Linked DNA regions of Lonchura striata. The protein of the gene in region 3 binds, or shares a complex with, the protein of the main gene of each other region. Links are inferred from orthologs where the notes say so. Each region holds a gene or a part of one and is shown on either strand. Other genes may lie near its edges. The genes, in order: ARPC3, ARPC1B and ARPC2.

What was found.
Region 1: ARPC2 (region 3) and ARPC3 share a complex: the UniProt entries of both Homo sapiens proteins name them as parts of the arp2/3 complex. The link is inferred for Lonchura striata from reciprocal best matches to the Homo sapiens genes ARPC2 and ARPC3.
Region 2: ARPC2 (region 3) and ARPC1B share a complex: the UniProt entries of both Homo sapiens proteins name them as parts of the arp2/3 complex. The link is inferred for Lonchura striata from reciprocal best matches to the Homo sapiens genes ARPC2 and ARPC1B.

Annotation. Positions count from the first base shown.
Region 1 is NC_134620.1:12,737,721-12,747,716, reverse strand, and holds the start of ARPC3 (actin-related protein 2/3 complex subunit 3), read left to right. Parts: upstream 1-5,878; 5' UTR 5,879-5,983; coding exon 5,984-5,989; intron 5,990-6,774; exon of another isoform or gene 6,775-6,860; intron 6,861-7,012; coding exon 7,013-7,112; intron 7,113-8,072; coding exon 8,073-8,149; intron 8,150-8,413; coding exon 8,414-8,482; intron 8,483-8,752; coding exon 8,753-8,879; intron 8,880-9,191; coding exon 9,192-9,286; intron 9,287-9,996. Other genes in the region: DENR (density-regulated protein), read right to left, coding at 1-71, 2,040-2,060; GPN3 (GPN-loop GTPase 3), read left to right, coding at 1,332-1,379, 1,456-1,564, 2,187-2,354, 2,771-2,895, 3,549-3,664, 3,952-4,048, 4,408-4,536, 4,927-4,989. UniProt on the Homo sapiens protein: Component of the Arp2/3 complex, a multiprotein complex that mediates actin polymerization upon stimulation by nucleation-promoting factor (NPF).
Region 2 is NC_134618.1:14,898,359-14,908,180, forward strand, and holds the start of ARPC1B (actin-related protein 2/3 complex subunit 1B), read left to right. Parts: upstream 1-5,840; 5' UTR 5,841-5,962; intron 5,963-7,661; exon of another isoform or gene 7,662-7,698; intron 7,699-8,308; 5' UTR 8,309-8,318; coding exon 8,319-8,382; intron 8,383-9,060; coding exon 9,061-9,165; intron 9,166-9,708; coding exon 9,709-9,822. Other genes in the region: ARPC1A (actin-related protein 2/3 complex subunit 1A), read left to right, coding at 1,054-1,129, 1,308-1,501, 2,403-2,493, 3,580-3,618. UniProt on the Homo sapiens protein: Component of the Arp2/3 complex, a multiprotein complex that mediates actin polymerization upon stimulation by nucleation-promoting factor (NPF).
Region 3 is NC_134610.1:15,527,548-15,537,318, forward strand, and holds the start of ARPC2 (actin-related protein 2/3 complex subunit 2), read left to right. Parts: upstream 1-5,389; 5' UTR 5,390-5,509; coding exon 5,510-5,583; intron 5,584-9,771. Other genes in the region: C-X-C chemokine receptor type 2, read right to left, coding at 935-2,011. UniProt on the Homo sapiens protein: Actin-binding component of the Arp2/3 complex, a multiprotein complex that mediates actin polymerization upon stimulation by nucleation-promoting factor (NPF).

The DNA.
Region 1 (9,996 bases), on a different chromosome or scaffold from region 3:
GCACCGCTCCTGCCGTCCCCTCGGCAGTCAGGGACCACGGGCTCGGCCACCTCCGTGGCCATGTCACAGGCCTGCGGGTCACAGGGCCACAGCATCAGCACCCAGGCTCTGGGGCTGCGTCAGTCACAGCCCTCCCAGCTCAAAGAGTGCCACAGGAAACAGGGGAAGTGTCAAAAGAGAGTGAGAGATCAGGGCGAGGAAAATGGGAGCCAAACATATGAAAACATGGGGAAACTGCTTCAAAGGATGCCAAGCAGTACTGGAATTCTAGCATGTAAGGGGAAAGCAGCCAAAGCGCCACGAAATGAAGAAAAATCTTTCAGAAACCCACATGGAATTACAGAACACACTGGGTTAAGGACAAGTATCATGTTAAATCAGTGCACACGAGCAGTGGGGACACTGGAGGCAGGCACCTCTTGCATATTAGCAAAGGAAAGGGGTCATTTAAATCAGTGCCTGAAGAGTCACTATCTGATCCAAGAACACTGGGAAAAAAAACAACAGAGGGTAAAAAAAGGAAAGCAAACTCAAGGCACTAATGGATTTAATAGTGGTCTACACACACGTTTTCAAGCAAGGGACTTAGAAGACAGGAGTCAACAAGGAAAGAATTTGGAACACATAAGAAATCCCGCAGAGGATGGGAACGCAGGGGGTACGTGTGACGGAGCTCAGGATGTGGTGCGAGCTGTGCTGAGCAGTGGGGAACGCGGAGGGAACTCCAGAGGCGGTGGGTCAGGGCAGGGGACAGGCACAGGGGCACAGCGCGGCTGGGGGAGCCGGGCGAACACCCCAGAGGGGCGCGGGGCTATGCCGGGCGTCACGGGGAAAAGCGAGGGCGGCCCGGGGGAAGGGAGCCGGGACACCGGGCACGGCCGGGGGGATTCGCGGGGGCAGAGCTGAGGGGATGGGGGGCAGCCGGGGGATGCGGGTCGGGTACCTGAGGAGGGACGGGCTGGCGGCGCGGGGCGGTGCCGGCGCTGACGGAACGGAGGGCGCCGGGAGGATGCTCGGTACAAGCACCGGGGGGATCCCCGCCAGGGGCGGAGCGGGAGCGGGCGCGTGTGGGAGCCGGCAGGCGGGGGCTGCGCGGGGGGGCCCGGGGGCGGTGTCGGTGTTACCGGAGGCCCCTCGGGCCGCGGCGGGTCCCGGTCCCGGTCCCTCACCGCGCGCGCACGTGCGCCCGCCCCAGCGCCGCCGTCTCGCGAGAGGGGCGGGCACGGTTTGACCCCGCCGGCTCGCCGTACGGCGGCGGGCGGGGCCGTGCCGCGGAGCCGGCCGGGCTACGGGCCGCCGCAGCGGCCATTCCCCGCCGGGCCGCCGCAGCCATGCCCCGGTACGCGCAGCTGGTGATGGGCCCGGCGGGCAGCGGGAAGGTGAGCGGGGAATAGCGGGGAAGGGCGGGCGGAGGGAGCTCCCTGCCGGCTCCTGACGGCCGCGTGTGCCTTGCAGAGCACGTACTGCTCCACCATGGTGCAGCACTGCGAGGCGCTGGGCCGCGCCGTGCAGGTGGTGAACCTGGACCCGGCGGCCGAGCTCTTCAGCTACCCCGTCATGGCAGGTGAGCGGCGGCCCCGGGCACGGCTGGGCTCCGGCTGCCCCGAGAGCGTGCGACCGGACCCGTTCTGTCCTCCAAAACGGAGCCCGTGCAGCGCCGGGGGAAGATGTTGGAAAATCGTTTTAATAAAGTAACGTGTGATCCGTAAATTAAGGAATAATTCTGGTCTGCTGGCAAATAATGCTCAGTGCCTATGTCAGAGGTTGATGCACTCTCAATCCCTGTATTTACCTACACCAGTGATTGATAGGTACTGGCAGATGCCTCAGTTTCAAGAAAAACAGCAGTGTTTGTATCTGAACAAAGATGATAAAAGCACACCCTGACCTGCCCACATAGATGAGATACTTTCAGGAGGAGATATTCATTAGACCATAAGAGGAAAATCTTGGGGAATGAGATGTTTCCTAGACAATCACCAGGAACCCTCAAAAGACCCTCCCCAATAAATCCCGGGAAGTATTTAGCTTATATTTACCTGTTTAACTTTCCTGAACATAACGTGTTGTGTTTGGTGCTGGCTGTGCCTGTGCCAGGGAGATCCCCCTGCACCCAGCACTGCTGTGAAGTTTCCTCAGCTGCCAGAGTTCATTCCCTGCCTTTGGGGCCGTTTGTGTTGTCGCAGACATCCGCGAGCTGATAGAGGTGGACGATGTCATGGAAGATGAGTCCTTGAGGTTTGGCCCCAATGGTGGCTTGGTGTTTTGCATGGAATACTTTGCCAATAACTTCAGCTGGCTGGAGGAGAGCCTCGGGCACGTGGAGGATGACTATGTTTTGTTTGATTGCCCAGGTAAAGCCACACCAATGTTTTGGCATCACTCTTCATAAGCGTTGGAAAATTCGCAAATTGGAAAATGTGGTTGTGGAGGTTGTGATAATTCCCATTTTGTTCAGCTATTATCAGTTGTCAGAGTCACTTTCAGGTGTCTCAGGAGTGAACTTGGTCCTGGGCTGATCTGGGTGACTGCGCAGCTATTTGGTAGCATCATGAGCTGTGGCAACTGCAAACTAACACTAACTGGGGACCAAAGGAGGAAAAAACCTCCTTTTATTTCTTTTCTATTTCACTCAAACACAGGCTTCCTCAAAAGAAGGTGCTTTCCTTACTAGTTTTTATTTAAGTGCAGTTCCCATGTCTAAATATAACTGTGTACTGTTCTTGTTTGCTTCACATTCCTACCTGTTAACATCCTGAGTGTGCTCCAGGTCAGATTGAACTCTACACACACCTGCCAGTGATGAAACAGTTGGTGGAGCAGCTGCAGCAGTGGGAATTCCGTGTCTGTGGAGTTTTCCTTGTGGATTCTCAGTTCATGGTGGAATCTTTCAAGGTATCCATTTGAAATCTGTTGATAAAGTTCATTTTAATAAAGAACAAGAAGTCTTAGCCATTCAGGGAGCTGGGTTTGCCCAGAGGGAAAATTGCCAGGTGCAGGGAGATGTGGTTGCTGTCATCAGCTGCCTCAGACACAGCCTGCAGCAAGGACAATCCCAGGTGGATGTAAAGCAGCACTGGGAGAGTGAACAGACTGGGACAGGCACAGAGGGATTGTGCAGTGAATGTTCACAGAGTCAAAACTTGACTGGGCAAACCCCAGAGCAGCCTGCTCTGACCTGGAAGTGCTTCTGTTTGAGCAGTTGTAGGAGCCAGATAACCTCCAGAAGTCCCTTCCAACCTAAATTCTTCTGTGATTCCATGAGAGCTTTCTCAGATCCCAAGAACAAGCAGGCCACCATCCCCATTTAGCAGTAACTATTCCAAGAAGGGTTTTGGTTTTCTTAATGTCCTTTTCAGTGGCAGATCCATATTTGAGGCTCCAAAAATTTTTCCACTTCCTCTTTTCAACAGAGAGAATGATTCCTCATATGGCTTTGTGTCCATGTTCCATATATTCATTACCAGATTTGGCCTGTGGTTGAGTGTCCTGCATGTTTGTGTTCTGTTTTTGTGTACTTTAATACATCATTTTTCATCCTCTTCAAGTTTATTTCTGGAATCCTGGCAGCCCTCAGTGCAATGATATCTTTGGAGATTCCACAGATTAACGTCATGACCAAAATGGATTTGCTGAGCAAGAAAGCCAAGAAGGAAATAGAAAAGTGAGTTCCAAAAAATTATTTACTCTGTGGTACAATATACTGAAACAAAGTTCACTTGAGTCATGTTTCCCACAATTAAAACCTACTCATTTGGAATGGGAGAAGATGGATTTTGTTTCAAACAATAATCTCTAAACATTGGGTAGGATGCTTAATTTAGTCAGAGTCAGAAAAATAGCTCCATGTTTGTACTGATCTCTGGCTATTTCTGTAAATAATTATCTTGGATCTTTTGTGTCACTTTGAATGACAGACTTTCAATGTTGATGATGACTTTGTTTCTCCAGGTACTTGGATCCAGATATGTATTCTATGATTGAAGATTCTACAAATATATTGAAAAGCAAAAGGTTTAAAAAACTGACCAAATCTATATGTGGATTGGTAGGTACATTGCTTTTGAGCTAGTGCCCTAAAATTCACTATCACTTTTTGCTTAACTAATATTTTTTTGTTTTTTCAGATTAGCATGAGATTCTTGATACTACTGATAAGATACTCTTGATATCTGGATTATAGCCAATACATTTTCTTTGAATTCTTTTCTGTCGGCAATTTTGGGAATTTGCTGCTGCATAGAATTTAGGATTGGTAGCCAGGTGTTCTGAGTGGGGAACTGGGAATTGCCATTGGTTTGCAGTGTGAGTTTAAATGCTATTTTAGAAGTCCAGAAAAGAGTGGTTTAAGGAAGAGGCTTTGAGTGCTGTGATTGAGAATGAACTTTCTGCATTTCCCTTCTGTAGATTGATGATTATGGCATGGTTCGATTCCTGCCTTTGGATCGCTCTGATGAGGAAAGCATAAACATCATTCTGCAGCACATAGACTTCACCATTCAGTATGGAGAAGATCTGGAATTTAAAGAACCAAAGGTAAGGGACTGTTGCTGAGAAGATGAAAAATTAGAAAGTATCCATAAGAGAAGTTGTGATATAAGTATGTTCTTTGCTTTGCTAATAAATTATTCTCTTTGTACGGTTCAAAATAAGCTGTGTTTAGTCTTTCAGTGGTAATGCTTGTATCATCTTCATTTAGTTATAGAAATGAAATTCTTTAATATAATCTTGCATATGCAGGTTGATCAAGTGGTTGTTTAAAAGTATTGGTTTGGTTTTCAAAATTAACAGAGTTTTAACCTTCAAATACCAGAAAGGACCACTGAGATCACCAAGATTTTTTCCTGCATGACTGTTCAAAGTCCCCTAATGATTCCTGTGTTCAGACCAGGAAGGTTTATGTTTTTCTGGGGTTTTTTTTGACAGGAATGTGAAGAAGATAAATCTGCTCTTGTGGATGAATACTTTCAAGATCATGTGGATGAGTAAGAAACATGTTCAAACTCTGAGGAAAATACTTTGTTTTTGATAAAAAATAAAAATAAAATAAAAACCCCCCAACCCCTACACAAACACGCCTGATGTTTTATCTGTAAAATAACTAATATTTATAATGGAGAGTGAGTTATATGACCTCGTAACTACTTTAATAAACAATTTTTTTTACTATGCTTGGGTGTGTTATAAAATACATAGGCCAGTGTTAGTACATATAAACAAGCAGAACCAGAAACGGGCAAGAGGTTCAACAGACCAGCAAATCCTCAAAATATATTGAGGAAAAAGACTCAGAAAAATCTGTATGTGGCAGGTCTTGATCTGACTGAATTAAACCATTCAAAAGCTGGGGAAACCACCGTGGTTTAATTCACCTCCAGACTGCCACTGGGACGAGCCACGCTTAGGGCATGTTGAAAGGATAAACCCCAGCCTTGCAGTTGAATTATTGTGACTCACCTTCCAAACCTCCCCACTTTGTCTCCCTGACTCATGCCGGGAGTCAGATACCAGGGAACAATTTCAGCAACGCTGGATATCAGGGAAGCAATTGATAGCAATTTGAGTGTGCACCCTAAAATAGTGTGTCCCTCTGAACACAGCGCGTTTGGACCCGTTTTGTGTTTCCTTGCACGAAGTGCCGTGCTGGAAACACCCAGGGGAGAAAACCAGCGGCCAGCGAAGCATCCCGGGACCCCTTCCCCGAGCGGGCGGTGCCCCTCCCGGGACCGGCAGTGCCCTGGGACAGCAGTGCCTCTCCGTGGCCGCTCCCCGTACGGGCAGTGCCGGGGCACGGCGCTGCCTCCCGGGATCCCTTCCCGGTGCGCTGCCTCCGGGGCGGTGCGCGGCTCCTCCTCGCACCGCCTCTGCCGCTGCCTCATTTCCTGCAGCGTAGCGGAGGAGGAAGCTCTGTGCCCGCTGTCCTGCCCGGCTCGCCCCGCTCCCCTCCCGCCCGGCCCCGCCGAGCCGCCTGCTGCCCTTCGAGATGCCGGTGAGCGGCTCCGCGCCCGGCGCCGCGCGGCCCCGGCGGCGGCAGCGCGGGCGGGAGGGCGCGGGGCGGCGGGGCCGGGGGCGGCGATCCCGGCCGGGGAACGGGCTCTGCTCGCTGCGGGGTCCGGCCGGGGCACTGCGGGGGAACGAGGGGCTGCAGCTGCGGGGAGCGCTGCTGAGAGCGGGGATGGCTCTTCATGGGAGGCTGCTGCAAGGCAGCGCCTTCCTCTTCCTCTTCCTCCTCCTCCTCCCCCTGCCAGGGATCCACCCGCAGCCGGGAGGGTGCGAGCCCCGGCAGCAGCGGGGGAGAGGGCGGTCACAGCAGGGCTTTGCCCCGGCTTTGCTCACGCCACCTCTCAGTGAAATAAACTGCTTTTTATACATCCAGCCTCTCCCAGTCACATCCTCCTCTGCCCCCCCACAGAGGGTGGGTTGTGAGATGAGGGATTCCCAGTGGCTTGCACAGCACCTTGGAAAGTGCCTAGAACTAAACTCCTTAGTTGTTTAAAATCGGTTTTTCAGGGAGAATTTGTTGTATGCGGAAAGCTGGTTTGTTTGTCACTTAAATCACTTTTGTTGCTTTTGTTGATTTTTTTTTTTACTGCACTGAGCCTGCTTTTATTTATAATTATCTACTATTAATAGCCAGTCGTGGAATTAAATTACCTATTTTTTAATGACCAACTAACTTTCAGTGCAATGCCCCAAAACTCAGGCAGGTGAGCAGGGCTGTTACCCCTTGGTGCAGCCAGGATGGGGTAACAGGATGAGGCAGCCTGGGGATGAACTGTGCCTGCAGACCAACAACACAGATTTTATCCCATCTCCTGGTGCTTTCCTGGTCTTCACCAGAATGGCACTAAGATCTGGACCTAAAGAGAAAATAGCAATTGCTTGTGCAAGGAAAAAATGATGGAAGCATCATAATGAACTAGGCTGTGACTCCTGTTTGATGAAGACATGTGAATGGATATGGAAATGTCCATTTTCAGTAGGATCAATAACCAGCTCTCCCTGTCTCTAGGCTTACCACTCCACTTTAATGGACTCAGACACCAAGCTGATTGGGAACATGGCACTGTTACCCATCAGAAGCCAGTTCAAGGGCCCAGCACCTCGAGAAAGTAAGATTATAATAATCTCTGAATTACTGGATGTAGCTCATCACCTCAGGGGTTGCTCTAAGACAACCCCATTAAGAGTGATGAGAAGAATCACTGGTGGGAAATAGAAAGATTCGCAGTTTAGAGAGGAGGAAAGTTTTCAACTACTTCAGTTGTGCAAATTGTAGAAAATAATTATGCACAGATAATTGTGCTCCGTGTTGTGCTGAGTTAGGGGTTTCAGTAATCCAAGCCTCTGGCTGCTGTTCTGGTGCCTCCCCCTGTGCTCCTGAGCAGGGTTTTGAGGAGGCTGTGGTGGTGTGAAGCCTCTGTGTCAGAGGAAGTGGTTCAGCTGCAGAGAACTCGTGCTCTGGGCTGCTCTGAGGGACAGCAGCACTTACGGGTGTGGGGCTTCAAAAACTGCAGTGAAGTTCCAGGCACCCCGAGAGGGCCCACAGGCACACGTTCCCTTTCAACACCTGAACTTCCCAGGTGTGGTATTCCCCAGAAATGTGGGATTCAGTTTGGAAAGGGAAATGGAAAGGAAACGTTTCTGGATTTAAGCAGTCTTGGATGGTAACAAAGGTCAGATTGTCACTGTGTTCTGCCCCCCTCCTTTATTTGAAGAGGATAATGGAATCCGAGTGATGTGCTTTCTCCAAAAACTTTTTTTCTATCCTTTTATGATGTTAAAACTGTGATGAGTTACTCAAAAGTGGTAGAAAAGTGAGGAACTGCTGAATTGCTGCTATTTGTGAAGTGACATATCAGAGGGGAAGGAGAAAGGAGTAGGAAGCTTAAATATTACAGTCTGAACTCATGGTGTTTCAGAAGTTTTCTGTTACGTGGTGCTGACTTCTGCTTTTTGTAAATACCATGGTTTTGTTCTTGCAGTAATCCTTATTTATATATTTCAATGAGTAAAAGTTATGACAAATGTAGTGTAACAGAGCACTCCTTAACTCTATCTCTTCTTTATAGCTAAGGACACAGATATTATAGATGAAGCCATCTACTACTTCAAAGCTAATGTTTTCTTCAAAAATTATGAAATTAAGGTAATTTTTTGAGATACTGAGTATATTCTAGTTCTTTGGAGGGTTGGTTCTGTGAATATAAATTTATTTTCAAGGAAGTAATTTTAAGAAGATCACAAAAACTCCCCTTCCACTTAATCTTTAAAGTTGGGTAAATGTCATGAATTGCAAATCTCTCTCTCATGGGGAAACTATAGCCCAAAATGGCTTGAATTAATTCCTGTTTCAGACTTTATCAGTTCCACAAAGTGCTGTCATCTAAGAGTTCCTGCTCTTGTTTTGCAGAATGAAGCTGACAGAACACTGATCTATGTGACCCTCTACATTTCTGAGTGCCTGAAAAAGCTGCAAAAGGTAAGAAAACTGAATTCCTGTGCAGGTGGGAAACAGTCTGTTCTGAGAATTGTTCTAAGGAAAGGATTTCCTGATATTCTCCTTCCAGGGGAACAGATAATCCTGTTCACCCCAGTCCCAGTTGTCAGAGCCTCCAATACCTCAAGGCTGTGGATGTGCTGTGTTGCTCTTGATGAGTATTCATATTCCAGATTTGTAAAATATTTGGGTCTAATGCTGTGTCAGTTTTTGTTCATAACTGCTAACCCATTGTTTGCCTGGTTCTTCCAGTGCAACTCCAAAGGCCAGGGAGAGAAGGAAATGTACACACTAGGAATCACTAACTTCCCAATCCCAGGGGAGCCTGGCTTTCCACTGAACGCCATTTATGCCAAACCTGCCAACAAGCAGGAGGAAGGTAAGGCTGACCCAGGGCCTCTGAGGGTCACACTTGATTAACTGCACTTTTATGACTGCAGTTAGTTACTTTAAACCTAAATCTTCTAAATCTGCAGTCTGTCTTCTGAAGGCAGCACAAGCTGGATTTTCTGACCTTGAGGATTCCCCTGGTTCTATAGATAAATCGAGCTAATCAACTCAGCCAGCTGGGAGTGCCTGCAGATGTGAAACTCCCTCTCTGCTTTAAGCAGCGATGTCTGATGTGTCCCTGTTAAATCCAGTTTGGGTTGGTGCTGCCCAGTTTAGCTTGGTTTTGCTGTGCTGCTTTCAGAGGTGATGAGGGCCTACCTGCAGCAGCTGAGGCAAGAAACCGGCCTTCGCCTTTGTGACAAAGTGTTTGATCCTCAGAGCGACAAGCCAAGCAAGGTGAGACCTCAGTGGCATCAGCACGGAGTTAGTGAGAGCTTGGGGGAGTTTGTTCAGCTACGTGAGAAGTGAGACAAGGGGGTGAGAAACTTCAGCCAAGCCTGTCTGATTCTGCAGTGAAATGGCAGCTGCAAGTTATCAATAAGTTTAATCTAATGTGATATGACAGTGAATGCCACTTTGGGTTGCTTTCAAAAGCAGGGCAGTAATAAGAGGTGTCTGGTTCAGCTCTTCAAAGCACTGCACATCTGCTCGTGGCTGGGGTTGCAAATGGAGTTCACAAGCAGGAGAGGTGCTGTGTCTCTTCCCTGCAGCTCTGATGTGAGAGCTGCTTTGAAGTCGATTGTTTTGCCTCATGTCCAGATTGAAAAAATCGCTAATCAATGAATGAGTCACCTCCTGAGTGTTCACATGTTTCATGTGCAAATGTGACTGCATTTAGTGTCAAAATCACTTAGGCAAATTTACTTTCAAAGGCATAGCTTCCTGATGCATCCCTCATTTATGATAAAATACAATAAAAGTAAAATAAGACAAAGTAGAATTTCCCATAAGTCCTGTAATATGAACTCATTGTGTCCATTCCTGTTGTCTTGTTCACCTCAATTTAAGTAGAAACCAGTGTGTAAAACTATGTGTAAAATATTTGTTTTGTGTCAGAGATTGAATACTTCAGTCATTGGAAACCACTTCTGATTTTCTGACTCTGT
Region 2 (9,822 bases), on a different chromosome or scaffold from region 3:
TAGGTTCCAGGAGTCTCTTTGAGGCTTATATAACTATAAGTAAGATTTGTTTCTGTAAATTTTAGAGTATATAACTTAAATTCTTTGTAAGAATTCTTCAGTGAGTGTATAGCAAATTTTTTTGCCAGGGAAAAAAGAGGCATTTAGGGAAAAAGGTATGTTCCACTGAGTAACCAGGGAAACAGTATTTCCTTTTTCAAAACAATATTTGCAATACAAATATTCCAAGCAATATTCCAGACAATATTCCCAATTCAAAGAGAATCCAGAAACATGCTCACTGCATCACTAAGACTGCATCTCTAACCAGAATCTGGAAAATAAGTTCATGAAATATTAATTTCAACATCTCTCCTTAAGATGCTGCTGATGCAAGGTTTCAACTTACACCTCCCAGTCCAACAAAATATTTTATTAACAATTGCTCCTCCTGCTGCTCTTCTCGATCTGCATAACTTTGCAGTGTCCTTGGCTTTCCAGCCAGGAAGGATGAGATTCTCCATATGTTTTGGTAGCAGAAGTCTCTGGGGGTCATCCAGACATTGCTGGGATTAATTTTGAATTGTGGTTCTGATCAGTACGGTTGTATAAGTACCTGGCAGGGAATATCATTAATTATAAAGTATTTTAGAATTCCCTTTATTTGTTATTAAATCACAAAAGTTGACTTAAATGAACATCAAGGCTTTTTCCTTCTGCAAAGATGTCAAGCATCAACATTTCAAGTATTTTTTATATTCAAATGAAATTAGTATCTTCCTCGAAACACACGTTTTTGGGGGTATTCCTTTTGAATTCTTGCCCCTGTTTACGCATAATTTTGGTAATGTTAGCCTTTCACCTGAAATACTTGGCTTTGTTATAAATCTTCCAGCACACTTTCATTAGGCTGAAACTTTTTATTACAAATTACAACCTTCTGTTGTCACCACAGGACAGGCGAGCTACCTTGACTTTTCCAACAATCCTTGTGTAGGAAGGGTGCCTATTTTTTGTTGAAGCCTAAAATGAGAAGTTTCATTGAATCCCTCTAACAAATGTCCTTGTGCTCAGGGTTTCGCAGCTGAAAACAGAGTTCCTCCCACTCCTGAGCGTGTCCTTTGTCTCCGAGAACAGCGTGGTGGCAGCTGTAAGTGTCTGCTATTCCTCCTCGCGGAGCTGTCGTGTTTTGGAGGGGGAGAAAACCCCATATATTGCACAGTTAGTAATAATACTAAACAAGCTGTGCCCTGCTGTCAGTGTTTTCCTGTTGGAAGGGCAGGGTGGGAATGCTGAGGTGGTGTTTCCTGACGGGTGTTTGCTTGCAGGGCCACGACTGCTGCCCGATGCTCTTCAACTGTGACGACCGTGGCTTGCTGAGCTTCGTTTCCAAACTCGACATTCCCAAACAGAGCATCCAGCGCAACATCTCTGCCATGGAGCGCTTCCGCAACATGGATAAAAGAGCCACCACGGAAGACCGCAACACCACCCTGGAGACGCTGCACCAAAACAGTATAACGTGAGTGTCCTGCTGCCAGCAGCAGGGCAGGGGATGTTCTCTGTGCCCATCGCCCAGGGTGTTCTGCAAACCTTTAGGTTTGCTGTACCAGAAGGGTGTAGCTGGTACCTCTTTCCCTAGCAGCTCTCAGTTTCTGGGATTTACGTGGCTGCTGGTTAATCATTGACGTGGCTACAGCTGTTTGCTCGTGGTTGATGTGTTGTGTACCTTGGACACAGCTTATCAAATATGTTGGTAGTTCCCAAGAGGCTGATGGCACTGTGCAAAATGCAGTCAGTAAAATCCACCTGAAATTCACATCCCGGCTTCCTTTTTCAGATGTTACTGCCATGTGTATTATTTATTTATTATTTATCACTGCTTTCAAACTGAAAGAAGGGAAATTTAGGTTAAACATACAGAAAAATCCTTCTCTGTGAGGGTGGGGAGGCCCTTGGCACAGGCTGCCCAGAGAAGCTGTGGCTGTCCCATCCATGGAAGCTTTTGAGGCCAGGTTGGAGAAACCTGGGACAGTGGAAAGTGTCCCTGCCCACAGTAGGGAGTGGGACTGGATGAGTTTTAAGGTCCCTTCCACCCCAGACCATTCAACAATTCTGTTAATCAAAAAGATTCATTCAGGTTAATTGGGTAAAATATCTTTGCATTAAAAAAATTATGTGATCTGCAGGGATGTGGAGCAATTTCTCTTTATTCAAGGAAAACGTTTTGTCTCACCAAGCCATTAAAGAGCTTTCAGCATCTTTTTCTTGGCTTATTTTTCTGAGGCATTCTACCAAGAATCTGGTATAGGCTCTGGTATAGTCATGTCTCCAGCCAAAGAGTAGGAGTGGAATTCAACCCAAATTTCCCAGATTTCTGGCTCTCTGGAATGGGTGTTGGAGCTCTCACTCTGTGTTTGCAGCCAAGTGTCTATTTATGAGATTGACAAACGGGATTGTCGGAAATTCTGCACCACCGGCATCGATGGAGCAATGACCATCTGGGATTTTAAGGTAAAAATGTGCTTTTACTACCATGTTTATGTGAACTAGCTGGGGTGGTGGATTTTTTTTTTTTAATCTCTAGTATCAACTCCTGGGGCTCAGCCTCAAGCCAGGTTTTAGTAGCAGCAGGAAATCCAGACTGGAATATTCAAAACCATTAGTGAAATCCATAAGAAAAACTGATCCAAGAATCTGCAGAAATGCAGATGCAGTTTGTTAAGCAGATGGTGCTAATACAGACTTATTTTTTTAATAGAATTACTTAATGTCCCTGTAGGAATCCCCTTAATTCTTTCATTTTCCAGCCTCAGCCACAACTGAGCTGGAGCAATTTGTACAACACAGCCCCCTGCCTCTCCCTTCTCCCATCCCATGGGACTCTGCTCATTGTCCTGCTGCAGAACATGGTCCTGTCCTCTCAGAACTGACTTACCCAAGGAGTAAGAAGTTGTCTCTAACAGCTGGAAAATGCAATATTGAAAATCCTTAAAGGATGTATTAATGCCCATGCTTGCTTTACTCAGGCCTGGCCAACAGAGGTCCCTGTTGGCCTTCCCAGATCTGGGATGTGGGATGTGATTTAGGGAAAGAACAGATTGTGTTCTATGGTGCCAGGATGCTCTGGTGGGGACAGGAGTCATACAAGAAGTTGAAGTGATCTCTAGGCTGCTTTAGTGCAGTTTTGGGTCTGTGTCGCTGGTACCTGCCTGAGTTTGAAAGGAACAACTGTTGTGGTCTCTGGCCTCTTGCATTAGGAAGAAATCCTTTACTTAAAGGAGAAATTCTTCCCTGTGAGAGTGGTGAGGCCCTGGCACAGGTTACCCAGAGAAACTGTGGCTGCCCCTGGATCCCTGGAAGTATCCAAGACAAGGCTGGACAGGGCTTGGAGCAACCTGGGAATGTGGAAGGCGTCCCTGCCATGGCAGGGGCTTGAATGAGATGAGCTTTGATCCCAAACCATTCTCGGATTCTATGACTGAATCTAATTTCAAATATTCATGTTTTTTGCTTGTTTTTTTTAGCATTTACACTGAATTAATTTAGCCCAAGCTACAACAGCAGATTGTAATTAAGATTTTTTTTCTCTCCTTCAAGACTTTAGAGTCCTCCATCCAAGGGCTACGAATCATGTAAAGATGGATTTCCATGATCTAGCAGGACAAACTGCTTGACAGAATGCAGCTCCCACATCTGCACAAACCTGAAAAGGGAGGAGGAAGGTGAAATATTTGGAAACACTGAGAAAATACAGCTTGGCAGTTTTTCTTTTGAATCTAAATTTGGTGAATTGTGTTGGTTTCAAAATCAGCTGTGATTGTTCTTTTTTTTTTTTTTTTTTTTTGGTTGGTTGTTTCATTCCATTCTTTACCAAAGCTGCTCCTTAAGTAGTTTATTGCAGGAAGTTATGAATCACTAACTTAAAAGGGGAATTTTATGTAAATTGTCTGCTAGAAATAATAATAATAAAAAAGAGAAAAACTGATTCTTTGTTTTGAAGTTTGTTGATTAAAAAAGGGATGTTAAGGGAATTGGGAGAGAGACAGAGTGGGGAAAACCCTGCACTGATATTTTATGGCCTTAAAGCAGAAGTTCATCTGAACTGAAAGGTTCTAAAGTTGACAGACCTGGAGTTCTGGTGATCTGGATGTGAAGATTCAGATGAGCTTCTTCCAGGAGAATTCTTCCCTTGAGGTGACAATTTTGGAGAATGAATGATTTTATCCTACTTCTCTTCATTCTCTCTGCCTTGCATTTAATCCATAGCAACAGCAAATTAATCTGAATGTCTTTTTTGTTGTCTGCTTAGCGAGTGACATTTTTCCAAAGGTGAGTGACCAGAATTATCTGTGGTTGCCTTTGGGATTGGTCTCCAGCCTGCTCCCAGGGCAGTGCCTGTGGGACAATATGGAAAGCTCTGTGTGGAAAGTGAGACAAATATCTGCTGAGCCTCGTCTGGGGAAGACAAATTAAAAGCAAATCTCTTGGTAAGTCTGTGAAACTTCAAGGCTGGGGAATCACCATCCCTGGAGGTGTTCAAGGAATGACTGGATGTAGCACTCGATGCTCTGAGCTGGTTGGCAAGGTGGAGATTGGTCACAGGTTGGACTTACTGAACTTGGAAGTTTTTCCTACCCTCAGTGGTTCTGGGATTCTGTGACCTGTTAGAGCTGAGCTCTCAACCCATAAAATCCTGTATTTATGACAACTAGTGGGCAAATGAAGCTGCAACCAGAGGTGTTGGTGTGGTCTGGCTTCTGTGCTGATCCTTTGTCCCCAGGTACCTTTTGCAGTTCAGCTTGGAGCCTCAGGAGCTCACGGAGGCATTTGGACACAGCTTTATTCACAGGGTGTATTCCTCCCGGTGCTGCTGCCTTGCTGTGCTCTGAGGGGATTAGCTGGCTCATGGCATTGCTTTACAAAGCTTAAAACTGTCAATTCTGCCGAAAATGCAGAAGTGTCTTTAAAAAACCCCAATGACTAAATTTACCACTTCCTCTGGAACCAAAGTTGCTTCATACCCTGCTCGTTTCTCAGCTCTGTTGCTGTGCAAGGTCAGCTCTGAGTGGCAGCCACTGTTCTCCATCACAGAACTGGATCCTTCTCTGGTTTCCTTATGTCTCCCACCTTCTCCCCTGGCAGTCGGGCTTGGCTTTACAATTTCCTCTCCCTTCTAAACATAAAATAGCAAGTGTTTCATTTCTTGCAGTCAGAGAACCTGGGGCGTAGCAGAGGGAAAGGGGATGAGTGAGTGCATCCCTATGCCCAGGAGGGAAGGCCTGAGTGCATCCAGGCGGGAATGGGATAAAAACTAGCTGCTCTGAAGCAGGAGGTGATAAAACCAGAGGGCTGGATGTCTGCTGCGTGGGGACACAGGCATGGTGACCGCGGCCAGCCTGGCACTGGGTCCCACTGGGCTCTGTGAGATGCAGGAACCAGCAGCAGCTGCTGCCGAGGGCGGCCAGATCGGGCTCCGCGGGCTCCTGCGGATCTCCCCGGCCGTGGGAGGCGATGCCGACCAGCGTCTCTCCCCGGGTGGGCTCCAAGCTCGGCTGCTCCCCGGTGGGGGCCAGCGCAAGCATCGGGGAGTCCCCATCCCTCGGGGGTGAACAACACCCGCTGGCACAGGGAGACGGCGGGGACCCTTCCCTTCTGTTCTCCTGGCTGTGTCCTTCCCTGGAGCACCCGGGCGAGCTGCCCACGTCGCACCGGGAGCATCGCGGGGCCGGGGCGCGTCCCGGTGCGGCGGTGCCGAGCGGCCCGGCCCGCAGGCACAGGGGCTGGGCGGCTCGGCGCTCCCCCAACGCCCACGTAAGGAAGTGGTTGCATTTCTCGGAGAGGAAAAGGGAAGTCGGGCTGCCTCGGCGGGGCAGGCACAGCTCCCGCCGCTCGCTCCGGGCTCCGTTCGTGTCGACTGCCCAGAGTCCATGAACGAGCCCCGCCGGCCAGGAACGGAGCCCAGCCCGCCCTGCCCGGCAAGGTAAGGACGGGCTCTGCCGCCGCTGTCCCGTGGGGCTGTGGCTGTCACCGCTCCTGGCGCTCACAGCCCGCCCGAGGGTTCGGGGGGTCCCCCCGGGCTGGGGTCAGGGGGTGCAGGCAGCCCCTTGCCCCCTGCGAGTTTCGCTGTCGCCGCGTTTTGGGTGTTTTGGGCTTTTCTCCCAGCTTTGTCAGCAAGTTTCAGGGTTGTTTTTTTTGGGTTGGGTTTTTTTTTTTTTTTTTTTTTTTTTTTTTTTTTTTTTTTTTTTTTTTTTTTCTCTTGCCGGAGGTCTGACAGCTCTGAGGGGGTGGAAAGAGTCGTCCTGTGGGGGTCCCCTCGGGGTTGGTGCCGGCAGAGACTGAGCTGCCGCAATCTGTCCTCCCCTCCTCGGCATCAGCTGCTTCCCGCTTTGCCCGTGCGAGGAAGAGGAGGGTCAGAGCCGCCCTCCGCCTGCCCTGGCTCGGGGTGTCCCCTCAGGCCAGGCTGGCTCCCGGGGCACCAGCACGGGGCTCTGGGGATGGGAGTCCCCAGCCTGGCTGGCAGGAGCCGGGCGGTGACACCTTCGGCTGCCGCAGGGAGCAGAGCGGCTCCCGGGGGTCGGTGTTGGGGTCTTGGTGGTGCAGGGCTCCACCACAGCGTCCGGGGAGAGTTTCAGGGGGTCCCAGCTCCCAGCGGGATCCTCACTGGGTGCGAACCCTCCTCCCACCACCCCGCCAGGCTCGTAAAAACCCAAACCCCAGCTCCTCCGGTGTGCGGCTTCCTCCCGGGACTGGGAGGAGCCCCCGGCAGTCTCTCGGCTCTGCCAAGGTTTGGTTATCTCCTCCCAGGATGTTTCCGAGCTGCTTGGACTGGCCGGGGAGATAACGGAGCTGTTCCAGCTCCCAGTCCCGCCCTGTCTGGCCTTCGGAAAATTCCCATTTTCCTCCCTCAAGAGCCCCTGGGTTGGGGAGGGGGGTGGGAGAGGGATGTAACCACAGCTCCTGGATGCTCTTCCCGGCTGGGGAAGAGGCTGCCGAGCCCCCGAGGGTCACTGCAGGGCGGGGGCAGGACTCAGCCATGGGGAACCCATGGGGAACTGGCTCTAAGGGGCCGTGGGGGAAACAAAACACCACCCACTGCTCCTTTTGTGTCTGGCAAAAACTTCCGTCCTGGCACGGCGGCTGAGCTCGTCCCTTCGGGGTGGCACTCAGAAGGGAGCAGCAGGGACCCCAGGGAGGAGAGTTTATGCCTCTGAGCTCCCAAACCACCTGGAAAAAGAAAAAGCATTGCTGTTTTCTTCGTGTCGAAGCCAGAACGCACCTCGGTCCTGCCTCCCATCCCTCCTGTAGGGAGCCCTTTGAGCCATTTCGGCCAAATCCCTTTTTCCTCTCCTGATCTCCTGCAATGTCGCTGATGGTTTTGTCCGTCCCTCGTGGTGCTGCTCCATCCGCAGGGCTCGGGGGCGAGGCCCGTGGTGGCAGCAGCTTTGTGCCCTCCTTGGGACACCCCGGGCTGCATCCCAGGGGGATCGGCAGCTGCCTCCTCATCCCTGCCCACGTCCTTGGCCAGGGGCTGTGTGACAGCACTGGAATTTCTCCACATGCAGAAGGCAGCTGATGGAGCTCTGCAGATTTTCGTTTCCCCAGCCCAGGGATGGAGCTTTGCTAAGAGGGACTTTTTTCCTTTCCCCTGTAACGTTTTTAGTTGCCAAAGAAAACGGGACGTGTTCAAGGAGTTCCCAAAATAGCCGAGAGCAGGCTGTGAGTAATTCCCGTCATCAGCCGCGCCCTGGCGAGGTGTTTCCCTACATCCCTGCGCTCCCCGGGCCGGATGGCCGAGGGGCTGTGACGCTGCTCCCAGCCCTTCCCGCTGCCGTGGCACTTGGAGGGGTTTTTTTGGCAAACTGCTCCATCCCATGGCAGCTGGGGACCGGCAGGAATGGTGGGAGCTCAGCCAGGAGAAGGGATCGGTCCTGAGGGCTGAGCACTGATGGGATGGAAGGGCCTCCATGGGGCTTTGGCTCTTCCTAAATGAGAGGTGTGGAAGGAGGGGGTGGATCTGGCCCTGTTGGGGTGGGGAGAGGAGGTGCTGCCCCTGGTGAGACCCCAGGGGTGCACAGGGGGCTGCTGGCACCAGGGTCCCTGTGTGCCCAGCCAGCTCCTGCCCAGCAAGTTCCAGCCAGTTTGGTTTAGAAAATCCTGGAAATGGACAGTTTCTGAGCTTGGAAATCCTCAGGAGAACCCTCTCCCCGGCGGAGGAGAGACATGGTGGGCTGCAGCACAGGACTGATGCCAGTGGGAAGGATCATTCTGTGGGGCTGGGGTCTTGTCCCTGTGTCCTGACATTCTGGGGGTCTCTCCCTGTCCCCAGCCCGTGAGCCATGGCCTACCACAGCTTCCTGCTGGAGCCCATCAGCTGCCATGCCTGGAACAAGGACCGCACCCGTGAGTACGCCCGGGGCACCCCGCAATTCCCGAGGACATCCCCGGGCACTGTCCTGGCTCAACACCCCCGAGGCGGGCGATGCTCCGGGGCGGGGCAGAGCTGGCTTGGGGCTGGATTTGGGAAGCAAATCTGGCAGATTTGGGGGCTGGGACAGCACATCCCCCTGTGTCCCCCCGGTGCCGGGACAGAGCCTGGCACAGCGTCCAGCCCCGAGGCACCGGCAGGGGAGGGAGGGAGGGAGCGGGGCCGGGTGATTCAGGGGCGATGGCATTTCCCGAGCGCGGCCCGGGGGATGCGGAGAACAAAAAGGGCTTTCTCTGCTGCGGCCCGAGCGCCGGGCAGGCAGGATGGGGCTGGGTTTGGGAGCTGTGCACCCCCAGCCGTCCTGTTCCATCCCATCCTAGCCCATCCTGTCCTGTCTCATCCCACCAGCCCCATGGGACCACACCCTAGGGAAGGGATGGCTCTGGGCTGTGGGGTTCTCCCTTCCCCCAGGGACAATTTGCAGCATTAGGGCAGTGCAGGACCAGGGCTGGGGGGCTGTGGGACTCCCCCAGGCAGCTGGGGCTCAGTGGGGACCTGGAGCCCAGGAAGGGGTGGGTGGGTGGGTGCTGGTTGGCCCTGCAGAGCTGGGTGACCCAGGGGAGGGCTTTGCCCTGGCCACTGTCACCCCCCAGAGATCGCCCTGTGCCCCAACAACCACGAAGTTCACATCTACCGCAAGGATGGGGCCAAGTGGAGCAAAGTGCACGAGCTGAAGGAGCACAACGGGCAGGTGACAGGTGAGCCACAGCTGGCAGAGGGGACAGGGACACGGATGGTGGCTGGGCTGTCCCAGAGCTGTGGGACATGTCCCAGAGTGGATGGGGGTCGTGTGGGGGTGGAGGAGAGTGGAGCAGGTTGTGTCCACCTGAAGGCAGCCAGGGGTGGGATGATGGGATAGGAGAGATGGAGAGGGATGAGGTGGAGGAAAGGAGGGAGAGAGGGATGGGAAGGGATGGGGACAGATGGGAGAAATGGGGTGAGATGGATTGGGATGATGTGGGATGGATGGAAAGGGAAGGGATGGGGTAGAGTGGAATGAGGGATGGGGTGGGATGGGGTGGGGTGGAATGAGATGCATGGATGAGAGAGATGGGGTGGGATGGGTTGACATGGAATGCTTTGAGGTGAGAGGGATGGTGTGGAGCAAAGAGGAACTGTGGATCAGAGACCACCCAGAACAACCACGCCTTCAGACACCCCCCAGCCCTGAGTGCCACCACTCCCATTCCTGAGGCTCCCTGGGCCACCATGGGCCACCATCATCCCCCTCTGCCTTCCAGGCATCGACTGGGCCCCTGAGAGCAACCGGCTGGTGACGTGCGGGACCGACCGCAACGCCTACGTGTGGACCCTCAAGGGCAACGTCTGGAAGCCCACCCTGGTCATCCTGCGCA
Region 3 (9,771 bases):
AGGAGCAATATGGGACTCCAGTGGAAAGATGTGTAGGTGTGCTGGGGCAGGCATCCTGAGGCCTGGCACACAGAGTGGCAGGAGAGTACTCAGCAGGGTCACAGTCCCTTCTTCAGCTCCTCAACCCCAGTCAAGTGTCAGCCCCAATTGCCCAAGCCAGAGCGGAAACATCCCGGTTGTGTAAGGGACAGGTTCCCAGCCCTTTGCACAACAATGTTCTGACACCATGGCTGGGAGGAGTGGGGATGCCGGTACCCTTCAGGCAGGGGTCACAGGGCTGGTTTAGTGTGAGGGGCTCCTCAGAGATCTTTCAGTGATTTGCTCTGCTGGGGTTGAGACTGGGGTTGGGAAGGGAATGACTTTGTCCTCAGGTGGGATAGACTCCACATAGAGACCATGGAAATGCCAGGACCTGTCTGGGGAACTGTAGGAAGCAAAACTTGGCCTTGGGTCCCCTGTGGGGATGCACAGAATGTCACACCCTGTCCTGGAAGAAGAGTTACCCACACTCTGACAGGCTCAGCAGGCAGCACTGTTTTGGCACTGTCCCCAGAGAGGTGCCCTGGCCCTGTCCTGCTGTGTCCCGTCCGTGGCAAAGAGGAGCCAGACATGGGTGACCAACCGACCAACTCCTTTATTGCTCGATGGTCATTGGGTAAATACACCATCTTCACAGCAGGCTCACAGAATCCACAGGGTCACAGGCTTTGTCCCAAAGAGGGGGGAGGGTGGACACTTGACATCACTCCCCTGGCAATGGGGTCCTACCACCGTGCTACCCAAGCCCCCTTCTAATTGGGGTCCAACATCCAGTGGTGGCCCTGCCCATCCCTATGGCATGACCACCCACATGCCAGGGGACTGGATGATGATGCTGAGGTGTGTGGGGTGCTGGGACCTGCTGGTACCCACAAAGGCTGGGTCCCAGAAGGGCTCAGAGGGTGGTGGATGTATTGCCAGAGGTGGAGGCATAGGAGGCACGGCCATAGCGGGCAACAGCATCCTTGCTGATCAGCCCACGCTGCGCCAGGATCTTGAGGAAGCTGTTGCGAAACTTTTGACCGATGAAGGCGTAGATGATAGGGTTGATGCAGCTGTGGGCAAAGCCCAGGACCTGCGTGACAGAGAGGGTTGTGTCGATGCGGTTCCTCCTCTCACAGGTCTCAGCAATGGCCCGCGTCCTCATGAGGGTGTCGCTCACTAGGGTGATGTTGTAGGGCAGCCAGCAGATGAGGAAGACCAGCACCACAGCAAAGATGACCTTCATGGCCCGCTGCTTCTGAGCATTTTTGGTCTGCAGGAGGGTATGGATGGTGACACCATAACAGAAGAGCATCACCAGGAGGGGCAAGGCAAAGCCGAATGTCTGCGGCAGGATCCGCAGCACTACCCGCCACTTGGCCGTGTCCTCGCCACTGATGCGCTCATAGCACACGGTGCCATTGTTGGGAGAGCGGAAAGCCTCACGGAAGAGCAGCACGGGCAGGGAGAGCAGTATGGAGAAGACCCAGATGCCCAAGCAGACAAACTTCACCCAGTGCCTCTTCTCAGTGGCAGCCCGTGTGGCATAGACAATGGCCAGGTAGCGGTCCACACTAATGCAGGCCAGCAGAAGGATGCCGCTGTAGAAGTTGGCTTCCTGCAGCACAGAGATGGCTTTGCACATCACAGTGCCAAAGACCCACTCGTGGGCTCGGTAGGCTGCCCAAAGCGGCAGGGTCAAAGCAAAGAGCAGGTCTGCCACGGCCAGGTTGAGCAGGTAGACGTCGGTGACGGAGCGGCTGGTGTGGGTGGAGGTCACCACCAGCACCACCAGCCCATTCCCCACCACACTGAGGATGAAGACGAGGCAGTAGATCACCACCACCAGGTACTTGTTGAGGGCAGAGTTTTCAGGCCGGCACGGAGAGGATGAGATAGCAGTGTCAGGCATGGCTGTGCTGTAGTCATAGGTGTAGTTGTAAAAGAAGAAGAGGTTGGAGAAATCTCCACTGTAGGACAAGGGCTCCATTTTGCCTGTGGAGCACAAAATGGCATGAGCATGGGGTGGTAGTGCTGTGGACCAGGGGTGACAGTATCTCTGGATCCTCTGGCATTTCTGTTGGCCCCCAGGTACTCTCCCAGCCAGTGGGCAGCTGTCCTTCATCACTGTGATGGAGGACACAGCATTCCACACTGTGCCAGGTAATGGTCAGTATGCAGGTAGACACTGTTCCTCATATACCCCCTTGTAAAACACCCCCTGCATGCCTCATTCTCCTGCATTTCACCCCAGTCCTGTCCATTTCCTGACTCTTGTGGAAGAAAAGGTTCCCCCATAGACTGATCACCTCTTCAGAGTTTGGGGGCTTCTCCATCAATGTAGCATCACATCCCTCCAGGAGACATCTGGCTCCTCCAGAAACCCTGGGCTATCCTGCTTCCTTCAAAAGCCTCTAAGCTCTTTGGGCATGTCAGAGCCCCTCACACACCTCCAAAGTTCTTCAAGTATCCCTGTATCCCTCCAGCCTCTCCACCCCCTCAAGCATTGCTGCTGTGATGCCTGGAACGGAGCTGCCCCTCCTGCCATGTCAGCCAGCAGCAAGGCTGTGGTCATGGTGGCTGGGGCAGGCAGCACTCAAGAAGGTCTGAAGGTGTTTTTGTGTCCTTCTTTCACCTCCTGGTCTTGCTCCTGCGGGAGTGGTTTCACACCCCAGGCGGAAAGACATGTCACACTTTGCAGGCAGCTTTGGAAATGTTACATCTCTGGTTTTCCTGTTGCTCAGCTGGGCACTGCTGTGTACCCCCGTGCTTGGCCAAAATGGGGAAATCACAGGTGGCAGTTGCTTTTCCTGTCTCCTCACACATAGGAGACGGTGAGCTTGCTCTGGTCCTGCCTCCCCAAAGACCACAGGCTTTCAGTCTTCTCCCAGAATGGATCTGGACTCTTGTTCCACTCCAGTTTCACCCCTTGGTCCCATTTCTGAGCCCGCAACCCCTCCAGGGCTTGGAGATGCCAGGACTGCTTGGGGTGCTGCTACCCACCTCCAAACTGGCCCTGTTTGAACACAAACCATTCCTAGAACCAACTTTTCCCTTTGCCTGATTTGAATCCCCTGCCGCAGCTGGGCTGGTGCCACTCTCTCCCTGGCTCTGCTGTATCCTCTCTTGCAGTGATCCAGGGATGGAAATCCTGGGATGGTGACCCCAGGGTGGTGATGCTGGGATATGGAAACATCAGCATCCCGGAGAAATGCAACCAGGCATGCTGCCAGTGCTGATGGGGGAATGTCCTCCCAAGTGGAGCTCCCCAGGCATGGGGCAGAGCCTGATGCAAGTGCTTCCCCTCCATCTATTTCTGGCTGCTGCTTTCTGCTTCCCCACTCCAAAATTCTGGTGGTTCCTCTGGAAATGGGTATTCCCCAGGTATAACACACACAGATAGATCCCCACAGCTGGCCCAGATGAGGGGAACAAGCAGCACTCCATTTCCCCTCCTGACCCTGGCAGGGCTGGGGCACAATGTGGGGGGCCTGGGGCTCCCAGTGGGGACATGCCATGGGGAAGGATCCTCCTAGCTCATCGCTGTGCAAGGAAATGGGAGCAGGTATTTTTCCCAATGGCACCCAAGGCTGATGTCCCTGGGGACTATGGAGGGATTGCACCCCAGATGATCCCACAGCACAGCCTTGGTTGCTCTCACCCACCATCTCCCTCTACCAAGCAGCCTCTTGGGCAGCTGGACCAACCCACCCCAGCTCCCAGGCTGCTCCACATGTGAAGGGGCTCAGATGAGTGATGTGGGGCTGTCAAAGCCCAAGGAAAGCCACAATCTCCAGTGGTGCACCCCATGGACTCACTGCTTGCTGCTGTTGCCGTCCCCTCAAATGTGGAGTCTTCTCTTGATCCCAAGCTGTTTCTCACTGGGAAGCACACAAGTATGAGTTTAAATCCAGATGTCACCCCAAAAGGGCTCAAAGTGTGGTGGGATGCAGGGCAGCACCAGACCCAGGGGTCTCACCAGCCAGAGGATCCTCACCTGTGCCTGCTGCTGTGCCGCCTCCCAGTACCCCTTTCCTCCGCCACCCACTTTATACTGCCCGGGGAGGAAATGTTGCAAAATCTTCTCCCAGAATGAAGAGGAAGTGGCAGCCAAAGGGACCCTTCTGTGGTCCTCACAGATGCCTTTCCCAGTCCAAGGGAAGCCCGCAGACCCCTGTCAGCCTCCTGTCCCAAGATGTCCCAGGCCACGCTGCACTGGGGGTGCACCCAGGGGGTCATTGTCATTCCTGTGATGATGCACCCCGGGGGTCACCAGCTGGGGGTCTCCAATTTGTCCCCAGGTCTCCAGTGGATGAGGGGATCCCCTTCAAGGCACCCCTGTGTGCTGCGGTCCCCCCAGGAGAGCAGAGCTCTCTGAGGCCATGGTCAGTGGGTGATGGCAATGCAGGGCTCTGTGCCTCAGTTTCCCCATTGATAGAGCGGTAGGTGGTGTCAGCATTTAGGGGATGCACACGGGGACTGCAAGACTGGCTTGCCCTCCATTGGGGGTTGCTGTGGGGGACCCCCCCAGAGTAGAGTCCTATGTCCCTCCTGCCCTGGCTGTGCCTTGCCAAGCTAAGCCAAGTCAAGCCATGCCATCAATGCCATCAGACAGAGCCGTGCCGCTGTGCCAGACTGTGCCAGCCCTGCAGACTTAGCGAATGCTGTGGCTCCGAGTATCCCTTCTGCTTTTAGGGGAGAACTACACACAAGAGCATTCCCCATGCACCTCCATTACTCTGGGGCACTCACAAACCCCTTGAGCACCGCCATCCTCACAGCTTTCCATGCTTGTCAGCCATAGGGCTACCTCACGTTTTTGGGGCACCTGGTAAGTGCCATCATCATATCCCTTCATCATATCCCTTGGGCATCACCACAGACTCAAGGACACTCCTATTCTCTGTGGGAACACCTCCTCAGTTTTGGGCAACCCCAAGATCCAGGGCACCATTTACAGCCCCCCTAGGATACTCCCACTCCCTGTGCCACCTCACATTTTTGGGGCCCTGTAGCTCTGAAATTATATATTTTACAAGATACCATTTTCCCCTGTAAGACCCCCATACACTGGGGCACACCTACTACTTCCTCGAGCGTCCCTATGATCCTAAGGGCATTCCACTGTTCCGGGGACCTCCAGCACTGTGAGTATTCAATTAACGGGGTGTGGAGGGGGGGACCCTCACATTGCGGGGGGTTTCCAGAGCGCAGGCTCAGCCCCACGCCCGGCCTCACACGGCTGGCGGCGGTGCCGGTGCCCGTGCCCGAGCAGCCTCCCCATCGCCTCGCCCCGCCCTCAAGGGCCGCCCCCATTGCCCGCCCGCCGCGCGTGACGTCATCGCGGGTGGGCGCGGCGAGGGCGGGGCGGCGGCGCCGGGCCGGAAGTGACGCGCGGGCGCGAGAGCGGAAGCGGCGGCGCAGGCTCGGGCGGGTCCCCGGTGCGCGCAGCGGGCTCGGCTCCCTCAGAGCCGCTCCCGGCACCGACATGATCCTGCTCGAGGTCAACAACCGCATCATCGAGGAGACCCTCACGCTCAAGTTCGAGGGCGCGGCCGCCGGGTAGGAGCAGGGGAGCCGGGGCGGGGCGGGGACGGGTCCGCGGAGAGAGGGAGGGGCGAGGGGGCGGTGGCTGGCGGGGCCCGGGCCGTGCCGGGCACCCGGGCACGGAGCAGAGCCCGGCGGGTGGTGCCGGGACAGGATGGGGCTGAGCGGGGCGGAAGGTGACAAGGCAGGATGCGGGGCTGGGGAGCGGCACTGAGCCCGCGGGCAGTGTGCTACCGGGGGGCGGCCCGGGAACGAGGAGGGCAGAGCGGGCACGGGGTGGGAGCCTGCGGGATGCAGAGGCTGGGAGGGGGGTGGTCAGTGTGCGGGAGCTGAGCTGCGGGACGGATAGAGCTTGGGCAGAGGGAAAGCTGGGGAATGAGGGAGCAGAGTGGGACAGGGCAGTGTCGGAGGGGAGAGTGGAGCTGGATGGGGTCGCTAGTGCCAGAGCAATGGGGAGCCCCGGGGGAGCAGGACGGGTCTGGGAAGGGTGCCGGAGATTGCCGTGCTGAGGTGGACTGGAGGACAGGGGTGGAGAAGGAGGAAGTTGGAAAGGGAGGAAGGTGGATTTGCAGGGTAAAGTGGCCTTCATCAGCGTGCTGCCAGCGCTGGTACAGAATGTGTAGGGGGAGGCGACGAACAGGAAGCCTGTGTATGGAGTCATGGCCTCAGCCTTTTGCTTTGGGGTGAAGAGCAAATTTCAGTTTGCTCCCTCTTAGCTTTTTTGAGCAGAAGGGATAGAGGCGCACAGGTCAGCCATGGCTGCTGGTGCCAGCCTGGTGGGTGTCCTGGCCTTGGGGAGCAGCCTGGGGGTCTTGTTCACACCCACATCTCCAGCTGGAACATCTCAGTCCATGGGGAGCCCGTGTTTTTTTTTACTGTGAGTGTTGCACCAGGGCTGTAAAGATGCTTGTGAGGACACAGCTTAGCTTGGAAGGAAGTCCCTTAAGAATGAATGTCCTTATCTGCAACCGAGTGGCCTGTGGGCTGGATGCACTTGCTGCCTGCTGCCTGAGACACCTTTGTACACAGACAAAACCTTGAGAGGCAGAGCACAGTGGTGTTATCTCTGGGGTGGAGCCTGCCCTGGCACCTCACAAGGCAGGGCTCAGGCTGCTCCAGGAAAGGACCCTCCCGGGCAGGTGCCTTTTTCTGTGTTACTTTTTCTCCAGCAATTTTTGAAGCTCTCATCCTTTTATGTGCAGAACGTTGTCAGAGGCCACTTAGTTTGCTTTCCTTCCACTCTCAGTTGACTTGCTGATCAGATTTGTGTTTTGTTTTGGTGGGGCTTTTTTTTTCCATAAAATAATTATGCAGGCTGCTCTGCCTTGGAGGACTGCTGAGCTTCTCCCAGATTTTGATTTGTCTTGAGCCCTGATCATTTAATGCAACAAGTTTCCCCAGAGTACAGGCACAGCACTGGGCAGAGAGAGCTCCCAGATGACCTCTGTGGTATTGCAGCCACATCCATTAGAAAATATGGCATGCACAGAGGTTCACAGTGAGTGTCAGAACCGCGTGTCAATCACTAGTCTGTGCCAAGCCACTCTTCCTGATGCAGAGAGAAGAACGTGTGTGTGTCCCTGTGTTGATCTGACGTGGAGGGGCAGCTTGCAGGTCTAGATGCACCCCAAAACTCTGACTCTCTGAGCAGAGCTGCACTTGCTTGCCCTGCAGCAGCCTGCAGGCCCCTGACATTTCCATTTTGCTGCATGGCAAAGCCACCTCACTGGTGTGTGGGCACGTGTGCCTGACATACTGACTGTTCCCGAATCAATTAGTAGGGTGGCTGATGGTGTTCTCCTTCTGCCTTTTAGTCATCTATGGCATATTCTGTTCTTTAGATGGCGTTTCTAGATAAGTTTTGTGCCTTAAGTGTGTTGCTGATGGTGAGGAAGACATTTACTTCTGAATTTTCTTCATGCTTGTTCTGGGCTCCCCCATCCAGGCACGTGCAGGAACGTTTCTCCTGCTTTCAGGTCTTCTAAGGAATAGATGTTACAAAACATTTATTCAAGTGATATTTCTTTTTCCTATGGCCACAGCTCTGGGGTTATTCCTGTGGTGCTCAGCCTGGAGGTAGGAAGGGATTGCCTGTATTTTGCTATTTTGATGATGATTTTCCAAGGTGTATCTTGGGGCTGAACACAGGACAGTCAGGGCAAGGTCAAACCTTGAAGAATTTGGTGACTGGGAGGAGTGAATCTGGACACTGGGGCAGAGCTGGGTTTACATTATTTGCTCTAAACCAGAAGTGCAGCAGATGCAATGCAGGATTTGTCAATAGTGGTTGTCTCAGAGCCAGGTGTGCCTTGTAGCTTCAGCACCAGCCTGAAAATGGGGCAGGGCAGGGTTCTTTTCCAGATCCTTTGCCAGATACTTGTCCTGTGACATGGGCTGTGTCGCTCCCTTCTACTGCAGTGCAGCCATAGTTTGACAGGTTCCTGCAGAGCTTTCCTGGGCTATCAGGTGGGAGACACTCCACATTTCACCTTGTCATACAGAACAAGGTCACATTTAGAAGATGGAATTCATTAACTGCTATTATTGTCATATATGTCAAGATCTGTTCTGCATAGAGGTCCATCAACTGTCCCTGGATTTCCCAGTGTGAAAGGTACCTCAGCAGGACTGCAGACAGAGATCAGCACTTGAGACAGGGCCTAACCCACCTCTAAGAGTACTCCCTGAACAAGGTCCTTGGGGCTTGGCAGCATCCACCTGTAAATAGGGTAATTTCAAATTTAATTTGGTTTTGTGGACAGTCCCCATGTGTTGCTATTGGACACGAAATGAGTACACAAAAGTTTGTTAAGTTTAAAAGAGAAAAAGAGTTAATTTTATTTCTGACTTCGCAATATATAGAATTCCAAAAGTGACAGTGGGATTGGAGGATGAAATTGTCACCCTTCCAACCACACTGGTCAAACTAACAGTCTATCAATTCTCTCTTCCCACAAAGAAATATGTAAACTATTCTGTTTATACATGAAATTGTGTGGGAACTCTGACTCTCAAATATGTAAACATTATCAGAAGGCTAAATAAGTTTTATGAGAACTTTAAAACTTTCAAAAGAGCTAAAAAATCAGGGCAAGACCCATGGAAATCTCACCTCCTTGGACAGCCACTGTTGAAACATGATGTTTAGATCAAGGTGGTAACAGATGATGGACTTCAATGCATCTGATTTTTTTTTTCCTTACTTAGTCCTAGTAATTTATGTGTTTAAATATATTCTCTTAAACCAACCACATTTTAAAATAAAAGCCTAAAGTTACCAGAATCTGTTGAAATAACTTGAGTTAGGAATGTGCTGCTGCAATGTGAAATATCTGGTCAGTACCTGGAAATAAGTTTATTTAAATGAGGTTGGCTTATGAGCTTTTTTACATGTCAAGAGAAAGCTTCCATAAGGTTTTGACTAGTTCATTTGTACATGAGATGTTGCCTGGAAGCTGGTGTCACACGTGGGTTTTCCCATTTATGATAGAATTGTGTGTGAGGAGATAAACTCTACCAGTTGGAAAATCCTGTTTCTCATCATTGCTTTCCTTTGCTAATCACACAGGCATTAAAAAAAAACCCACAAACACTTCAAGTGTAAAACATTTTAATGATTGTCTTCTGCGTCTGATGAATAATCATTCTGTTTGACACTAACAGATTTGACATCCAGTTTTGTCCTGCTTTAATTTAACTGACCCTAGGGAAAGTGTGGCACAGGGCTTTGGTCTTAGGGTTTGGTTTTCCAGTCACATATAGCTTACTCAAAATCTTTAGTAAATTAATAATCTGTCTCAAACTGTTACTTATTATTTACCCACTGTGCAAAAGAACACAAATTTGCATAGCTCGAGTACAGCGTGCCTTTTCCTAGGCTGGGGGCGGAGGGAAGAGAATCTCAAATGAAATTGGTTTCTTTACAGCCATTAGTAGGTACAGCTCTGCAGGGCTCCCTGACCATTAGCTGCATAGGAAATTCACCGAAGCTTGGATTGCCCTGGTGCAGAGTGGTTCCTGTGAGCCGGCAGGAGCTGGGCTGAAGCCGCGTCCGCGGGCTTGATGGTATTTCCCACCTGCGGTCACTTGATGCTTGTGTGCTGCTGAGCCTTTCAGACACAGAGGCTGAACCCTGGCTGAAGCTAGGCAGGGAGGACTTTGTGTTCATGGTGTGACTTGAAGTGAGTTCATCATGGGGAGACA